2 linked regions of the Oryctolagus cuniculus genome follow. The protein of the gene in region 1 purifies or fractionates together with the protein of each later gene. This does not show direct contact. Links are inferred from orthologs where the notes say so. Each region holds a gene or a part of one and is shown on either strand. Other genes may lie near its edges.

The links. Proteins that work in one complex are often made in the same cells at the same time.
Region 2: the proteins of ATP2A2 (region 1) and PLN purify together in Homo sapiens (affinity purification with western blotting; 4 studies listed by BioGRID). This does not show direct contact. The link is inferred for Oryctolagus cuniculus from reciprocal best matches to the Homo sapiens genes ATP2A2 and PLN.

The regions. Positions count from the first base shown.
Region 1 is NC_091452.1:8,025,025-8,029,438, reverse strand, and holds part of ATP2A2 (sarcoplasmic/endoplasmic reticulum calcium ATPase 2), read right to left. Parts: intron 3,778-4,414; coding exon 3,689-3,777; intron 3,525-3,688; coding exon 3,422-3,524; intron 2,262-3,421; coding exon 2,130-2,261; intron 1-2,129.
Region 2 is NC_091436.1:51,760,986-51,765,963, reverse strand, and holds the start of PLN (cardiac phospholamban), read left to right. Parts: upstream 1-1,910; 5' UTR 1,911-2,001; intron 2,002-4,978. UniProt on the Homo sapiens protein: Reversibly inhibits the activity of ATP2A2/SERCA2 in cardiac sarcoplasmic reticulum by decreasing the apparent affinity of the ATPase for Ca(2+).

The DNA.
Region 1 (4,414 bases):
TGAGATCATCCGGTGCTGTAGGCTGACCACACAGCCGGTGTCTGCTGGCATCTGTTTCAGGCTGCTTTCACTCAAGTTCAGCCTTGCTAGGGTTAACAGATAGAATTAAGAAACTGTTTTAAGCACTAAAATTTACAATCCTGGGGTCAGTGTAATGGTGCCGTGGGTTGCCTGCATTCATACTGCAGTACTAGTTTGAGTCCCAGCTTCCGGGTAATGAACATGTGAGGCAGCAGATGGCGGCCCAAGTGTCTGGGTCCCTGCCACCCACGTGAGAGCCCCAGATGGAACTTCTTGCTCCTTGCTTTGGTCTGACCCAGCTCTGGCTGTTGTGGGTTAAATAAAGGGAGAGCCAATGGATGGAAGAGCTTTCCCCGCCCCACTCTCTCCATCTGCCTTTCGAATAAATGAATCGTAAAAAACCAAGGCCAAAAAAACTGCAGCAGCTGACGACGTGCAGTGGGTTACTCCACCACCTGCAACGCCAGCATCCCATCAGTGCAGGTTTGAGTCTTGGCTGCTCCACTGCCCATTCAGCCCCCCCAACTGCCCCCCCCTTTTATTCTAATCTAATTTTAAAATATTTATTTATTTGAAAGGCAGAATTATAGAGACAGAGCAAGAGAGACACACAGAGAGATTTCCCACCCACTGGTTCATTCCCCAAATGGCCACAATGACTGGAGCTGGGCCGGTCCGCATTCAGGAGCTTCTTTCCAGGTCTCCCAGGAGAGTTCAGGGGCCCAGCACTCGGGTCACCTGCTGCTGCTGCTTTCCTAGGTGCAGCAGCAGGGAGGTGGATCAGAAGTGCAGCAGTAAGGACTTAAAATGGTGCTCATGTGGGATGCCAGCACTGCAGGCGGTGGCTTTACCCACTCCACCACAGTGCCAGCCCCTCAGCCCTATTAATGTACCCGGGAAAGCAGCTAAAGACAGTCCAAGTGCTCGGGCCCCTGCAATCCATATAGGAAACCTAGATGAAGTTCCTGGCTCCTGGCTCTGGCCTGGGCCAGCTCTAGTCTTTGTTGCCATTTGGAGAGCGAACCAGTGAACAGAGTCTCTCCCTCTGTTTCTGTTACTATCTTTCAAGTAAATAAATCTTGTATGTGCTATTATGTTCCTTTGAAGGTACTTGAACAACTTCATGAAGGGGCAAGAGCTGTGGCATGGTGGGCTAAGCCTCTGCCTGCAGCACCAGCAGCCCATACAGGCACTGGTTTGTATCCCAGCTGCTCCTCTTCCGATACAGCTCTCTGCTATAGTCTGGGAAAGAAGTAGAAGATGGCCCAAGTGTTTGGGCCCCTGCAAACGTGTGGGAGACCTGGAAGAATTGCTCCTGGCTTTGGATTGGCCCAGCTCCAGCTGTTGTGGCCATTTGGGGAGTGAATCAATGGATGGAAGGCTTTTCTCTCTGTTGTCTGCCTCTCTAACTCTACCTCTCAAATAAATAAATCTTTTTACAAAAAACTTCATGAAAAGTGGAATTACATATGAATGTTTGACATCCATGTATACTATTTTCATAGCATGTATTTTTCACGTTACAACAAATTTTTTTGCCTCAAAATACTCATATTTTTCATTCCATTTTCCCACTCTTATACACAAATGATTTGATCATAATTTAGCACAAAGCCGTAAGCGACTCCGGGCAGTAGGTTTTCATGGACTAGTAGAAGCAGGAACTTGACTGGAGTAGATTCAAGACAACAGGGAGTGAAGGAGAATAACACACACACACACAGAGACTTCCAAGAAGTCAGTATTTACAAATGTGGGGTGCTGAAAGGAAACAACACCGAAGGACACACACGCACTGTGCCTCCCCATGCTGACAAGGTGCAGCACAGGTGACGCTGGGAAGGAGAGCACCATGGGAGAGGCAGCCATGCGGGCAGAGGTGCTGGCCTGGGCAAAGTATCTACGGACTGCTTTTATTGTCTTGGCCAAATACATAGCAAGTTTGCTCTATAAGAGAGGGAATGTGGGGAAGGAGGTATTGCAATAAACTGGAGGAGATAAGGTACAAGTAGATGTCCAGGAGAGGGGAATGACCAGACTAAGTATACAGCAGTATGGTATGAGTTCGGGGCAATACAACAATACATGCATCAAGCTCAAACACTGACCGAGTTGCAGGCATTCGCGCGCTCTATTTTAGAGAGACCCTTCAATTCAGTGTCAAACACGTTCATCTTCTCCACCAGGCACGTCAGGGCAGTCTCTGTAGCTTCTCCAACCTTTTCATACACACCTTTGGCCTGTGTTAGTTAAAGGTATACACAATGGAAAAGGAGAAAAGAAGTACACAGGTAAATTTCTCTTTAGCAATTCCCCCACAGAACCACCTTTCCTCCATTGCTTCAAGATTCTAGGGGTCAATTTTATTGCACTCTTGACCGGATTACTCAAAGTACAGGCATGCTTGTTATCTTATTCTAATAATTCGCTTTTTCAATTCCCACAAATATAAGAAGCCACTAACCACAGTTTCTATTAATTCAAAGAGCTTTCAAATAGTACTTATAATTAATTCCATGTCACTGTTTATCATTCTGAGCCTCTGCAATAGAAACCAAAGGATTCACTCCACTATTTAATTAAAAAGAGGAAAAAAAGGTTTCCTGTTGATTATATTTTATATTATCATTTTATAACCGCCATCTAGCCTCAGCTTGTTCTCCAGGGTATAATGCTATCCCATCTCAAAAAGCAAGACCAAAACCTTCAGAAAAACATCTTCTATCCTGAGTTTCATTTACACACAGTAACCATACTATCAGGCATGCAGACTGCAATTCTGCAACGCTGTCACGGGATCTATGAAAGGCTCCTGGCCTTTTTGGCTGGGCCATGCTGGCCCTAGAGAGGCAGGCCTCTGGGTGGAAAGGGAAAAAATCAGGAATCCTCACTTTATTTTTTTTTAAGAAAGCTTTTATTTTATGAATCAAATTTCATAGCTACAGCTTTAGGAATATAGCTCTTCTTCCCCCCACACCCACCTCCCATTCCCTCTCCCATCTCATTCTTCATTAAGAAGGAACCCTTGGGGCCAGCGCTGTGGTACAGCAGGTAAAGCTGCTGCCTGCAGTGCTGGGACCCCATACGGGAGCCGGTTTGAGTCCTGGTTGCTCTACTTTCCATCCAGCTCTTGCTATGGCCTGGGAAAGCAAAGATGGCCCAAGTTCTTGGGCCCCTGCACCTGCGTGGGAGACCTGGAAGAAGCTCCTGGCTTTGAACCGGTGCAGCTCTGGCCATTGCAGCTATTTGAAGAGTAAACCAGTAGATGGAAGACTTCTCTCTAACTCCACCTTTCAAAGACGGAACCCTCACTTTCAAAAGGGATGAAGGCAGGCTGGGTTTTCATGCCACCCACCCTGCATCTGAACAACAGCTAAGTTTAAGTTTCAAAGCATCTCACCTCATTGTAATCCAAAGCAGAGTCATTACAAAGAGCACAAATTGTTGCTAATTCTACAAGACCATCATACTGATGACACTTCACTGGTTTATCATCTTTATGCCTGTCAAAAGAAGAAACATTATTACAGCACATTGGGCTTATTTCTAGCTGTGTTGACCTCAGCCATATTTAGAAAGCTGTCTGAACTTTCCAGGTATACTACAAATCTCTCCAAATACTCAAGTGCCACACTGAATTCTATAAACGATACAGAAAGTTACTTACACTTCTCCAATAGGTGCGTACGTTGATCCAGTTATGGTGAACTCATTAAGGGAACAAGTATCACCATCAACCTTGTCCAGGATGAACATCTACACAGGAGAAAAAAGCAGACAACAGCATTAAAAAGCTATAAAAAATAATTTTAGAAAAACTGTATTCTTTGTTAGCTTCAGACACAATTTAAGTTTACTTATTATTTGCAAGACAAGAAAGCAAGCACACTCCCACTCACTGGTTCACTCACCAAATGCCCACATTTGGGCCAGGCTGAAACCAGAAACCAGAAACTCCTCTTGGGTCTCCCAGGGAGTGGCAGGGACCTAAGTATCTGAGCTATTACATTAGCAGGAAGCTAGAGCACAGGCAGGACTTGACCCTAGGCACTTGGCTATGAGATATGGGCATCCCAAGTGGCAGCTTAACCCCCTGCACATCTGCCCCTCTCTCATTGAGAGAAACTCACTGAGGCTCCTAACCAGGAGGTGGGTGTTGTGCCCACAGGCTAAGCTGCTACTTGGGACACCTGGTTTGGTCCTGGGTTCTCTGTGTTTCTGACCCAGCTTCTTGCTAACGCACCTGGGAAGGCAGCAAATATAGTCCAAGTACTTGGGTTCTTGCCACCTACACAGGAGACCCAGAATAGCATTTTTTTTTTTTTAATTTGACAGGTAGAATTATAGACAGTGAGAGTGAGAGAGAGAGAGAGAGAAAGGTCTTCCTTCTGTT
Region 2 (4,978 bases), on another chromosome or scaffold:
CTAAAATATGCCAACATATCAGGAATTCTAACTAAACATATTTAGATTTGATTTCTCAGCCTTTTAGCAGCTGTATCTTTGTTAAATTTCTGTAAGCCTATAGGGTTTTAAGTTCCATATTATCAGTCATCATTGGTAACTGATAATAAGATTTTTATTACGTAAATTTCTAAAGAAAAAATGGTTGTAGAGCACTGAGCAAAGTGTTAAGTGTCATTCACATAATTTCCTTAATATGGGGCTTACTTTTAAGTTCTAAATCTTCCTGTAACAACGTTCACAAAGGTTCTTTGCTAAAATACTTTTCAGTTAGTTTTAGCTGATTCTTTAAATAACGAGCGATTTGCTGAAGAGAAGGATTTTATCTTTCTTTGGAAGAAGCCAAGATCATCTCCATTTAAGGACACACAGCAGCTGCTGCTACACATTTCGGTTACCCGTAAGAAAGTGAAGCGGGCTGAGTTCACTACACTGTAAATATTAAAAAGAAAAAAAATAAGAAAATTAAAAATAGTTCCTCTAAAAGTAAAGAAGAGCATTAAGAATCAGAATTTGCAGGTGCGCAATTTAAGGAAATCTTATATAAACAAACAAAAAAAATAGACAAACAGAGAATAGGAGAACTACAAACTCTCTTTTCAAAAGGATTCTTTTCCCAGTTTCCGGTAAGATAAACTGTTCTAAGAAGCTCAAAAATATTATTCCACTTCTAAAAATTTTATTTATGACGGTACTGCAAAAAAATTATGGAAATTGGAATTAAAGGTAGGGTTTTTTTTTTTTTTTTTGGTGCAAAAGTTCTTTTAAATCCATGCACATGAGGGAGTCTTCAAAGAGTTAATGAAAAATGCTTACTATGAAAAATTAGGCAAGGATTTCAAGGTTTGTTTTTTTTTTTTTGCACCCAAGAAAATACCTTTTAATTCAATTTTCCATGAACTTTTTGATGTACTCTCATACAGTAATTTTCAGGAAAGCAAGTGCTACATTAGATGAAGTGCATTCTTGAAGAAAAACTACACAATTTAAATTTTAACAAATGTAAATCCACCCAAATAAAGCTTCATTAACTCGGATGCAACTGATTAGGAATCTACAAATACTCCTTTTTTTGCTAGAAAATTACCTTGATACTGTGTCCGAGTATTAAACATTTAGTAAGACTTTAAGGTAATCTAATGCAGCTGTTAAATAATCTTAATTCCCTGTATTTGCAAATCGCTATTTTTCTTGGGGTGATATAGCAATTTACATGAGAATTATTATTGATAAGTACATTATTAAACCTCAAAGTGAAGAAAACACAAGTGAGTTAAACACATTTATTAGTTCCTACTTCCACTATAAGGTTGATTTTAAAAAAATATAACTAGTTATTAGAGTGGTTTTCTCAGACACTATCCCTCTCAAAAATACACAGGACTAAGAAAAAAATTAAAACAGGAAAAGTATAAAATTTAATTCCGTGAAAATGATAACCCATTGCCTTACTTGAACTTAACATTATGAAGATACGGTATTAAAGCAATAGTAGCAACAACTCAATGAAAGTTGTTGCATCTAAGCCTATGTTACTCTCATTCTATTAAAATTCCTATTACAACTATTTTCTGTCTTCAATATCATCACCATCAAAATACGATTATCTCTAAACCTGAAAGTGAATAAATCTTGAGCTTTCTACCACCCAAACTTATTTTATTTATCTGCCATATTTTTTAAATTAAAAGCAAAAATCGAAGCACAAAGTGTTAGTGACCTTTCCATACCTAAAGATAAATGAAGTTCTAAAGTTTGGCTGTGGTAAGACTATGGTTAACCAATCAGAACTTCAGAATTCCTGTGTGACATCATAAGACCTCCCTAGAATACTTTTTCTCCTCCACCTACTGCAACTATTCCCATAAACCTGGTAACAGAGTCAGAACACTTCCCAGCTACAAGCCCATTAAGACCTCACACTACTTGATATTCTGTACTGTGGTGATCACAGCAGCCAAGGTAAGAAATGGATTTCACTGGTTTTGGTCATTCATACTTTCTGAAATTCAAACTCACTGAGTTCTTAAAAAATTAATCATAGTTTTTAAATCTCAGTTCAAAGTTAGTGAAATGTTTGAAGTGGCAAAATGCTTAATATCTAAACAAATGTTTATCTATATAGTGACAGTAAAAAATAAGATTTAGTTTTAAAATTTAAAGAATCATATTCATCTTTAGCCCTGAATTGGTATTGTCGTTTAACTTTCACTTTTATTTTACTGTTCAAATTTAAATTTCTGCCAATTTAAAAATCTTACAATTGTATTATCATATTTAGTGGTGGTGATAGCATAACTTCACACAGAACAATGGCATAACTGTATTGTATCTTACTCTACTGAAATATAGTGCAGGAGTAGGCTATATATTTGCATCTGTAATAGTACGCATAGTTGTGTGACTACAACATGCACATTATCAGCAGGCTTATTCAGTATTGTCATTATGATCCCTTACTTAACTAAATAGAGTTTAATATATCATATTTAGAAATGTTCTTAAAGATTTTTCCTCTCCATAAAACTCAGTCAACTTTAATTTTAATTTTAAGGTATTTACTAATACATTAGATTCTGAGGTTCTAGCAAATACATGGATAATTACTACAGAACAATTTTCATGTTAATGTAATATTAATATAAAGAGAACAGAATCAAGAAATGGGCAAAGTCTAGGCAACTTTTAACAAACACTTCCAAAAATCCCATGTTTTTAATGAATGAAGTTTCTTTTATTAAATTCAATACAATATCATAAAGAACAAATTTGAAAATTTTAAAACATTTAACACAAAAATATAAAAGTCCTTGTAAAGGTACAGAAAGTTTCAATACTTTCAAAATAGAGATTATTTTAGCACTCACATTCTAAATATCTCACTGAAGCAAATTTGATTACATGAGTGATTATTCTGCCTACTAATGAATACACTTGTTAATTTATTGTCCTCTAGTGTTCCTTAGTTTTTTCTCTTTTGAGCTTAGCACGAAAATGACAAAAAGAAAGAAATGTCCAAGAATTGAGACAGTACAATATACTTGACTTCTGTTTGAATGCTACCATATTCTCTGTTAAAATCTCAATTTATTAGATGAAATGCTTCCTTATTCTTAAAGTTCTATCAGGGCATAAATAAGATGATATTTATTTCACTTTATTTTTGTATTATATACATTAAAAAAATTTATCTTAGAATTTTCAATTCTTGTAACAGTGTAAACTGTACTGTTTTCAGAACAAGCAGGAACGTTATAATTCCATAAGCAGTATTCCTTAAACATTTTTAATTTTGTCTACCACTAAGTAACCCTAATTTTTTTCAGTATCTTTGTATTTACAAAATGTTTTTCCTTTGTTCTTATGTAAGTCACTCTGTGAGGTGGTTTCATATACATATCTCTGCATTTTTACTCAAATATCTATCAAATTACATTCTAATACTTTAAACAGGGTATTCAAGAATTCTTCCATTGTATCCAAATTTTACTACATCACATATTATTCCAAAAACAAACACCTAGAAAGAGCAGAAATTCTATTAAGATTATCCTTAGGTAACCAGTGTGCTCAGGTTAACAGAAATTACATTGCTAAAGTGACTGCTGTTCAAATTTAAAACATAATGCCTACCAATGAGCCATATATTATGCCCCATCTAGTTCCTCTCTACTTTAAGATAATACTTTTAAGTATTGTATGTTTATAAAGACTTATGGTTTAAAACTAGTGTTACATAAGATGGAGAAATATGAAAGAAGCATAAACTACTAAAAAAAAAAAAAAAAAAAGCCCTAGGTTTCAAAAGCATGTAAAAGAACTACAGAGTACTTGCAGGAGTCACATCAATATCATTTCCTAAAACATGAAACATCAAAATTAGATTTTACGAAAATGAATCTTGATGTGAAAGGAAGGGGAGAGGGAGTGGGAGAGGGGAGGGTTGTGGGTGGGAGGGACGTTATGGGGGGGAAGCCATTGTAATCCATAAGCCGTACTTTGGAAATTTATATTCATTAAATAAAAGTTAAAAAAAATTAGATTTTAGTAGATAAAAAGAAAACCCATTTGGGATGTATATTAATTTTTTTTAATCTCACTAATTAGAGGTAGGAGAATATTTGCAAAAATAAAGTAAAAAACTTACTTTAAATGTATTATATAAAGTAATAACTACATGCAACACACTAAAAGTTTAACTGAAAACCTAAATTTATGGTGTAAATCACCTCTAAATTAGACTATATAGTTATTACCAGTCCTAGAAATGAATAGAGTCAGTTGTCTTTTTTTTTTGTTCTGAAGAGTAATTTTCTAAATGCACTAGTATACATAAATATTTCATTTGTTCCTCTGAATTCTTTGTATGTCTGATATTGTATCTCTGTTTCAGAATTTAGGCCAAAATGCAAACTGCCCAACGTCATGGAGCTAGGCAATACAGGGCCTTTGGCAGGCACTTAGCTCTATGACTCTGAACCACATGCACATCCTATACCACTGATCAACTTGGCTTAAAAATAAACAATGACATTAACAGAGCAAAATAGACTGAAAGAATTAATACTTTGCCATTCTACAAGACAAATTTAGAGAATCCAACTTCTTCTATTCATTTAAAACAATTCCATTTAATTTACAGTTAAGTTGTATACCAGGCATTATATTCCTAATAGCCTAAATGATATTCTATGGATCATTTTCAAAACCAGGGACTATAAGAAAGATATCCTTAATTATTAAGCAATATACCACAACCAGTCAAATTAAAGTTTCCTGGGCTGATCATACTGGCAAAGGAACAAATATAGAGTTTGGAAATAAAGTAAATAAAGCAATAAACTTATAAATTAAATGAGTGGTCTCTCTGAATATTTCCAGAAACAGTACATCAATGTCTTTAAACCCTGCATGTATTACAAATACAGTGCCACCCCAG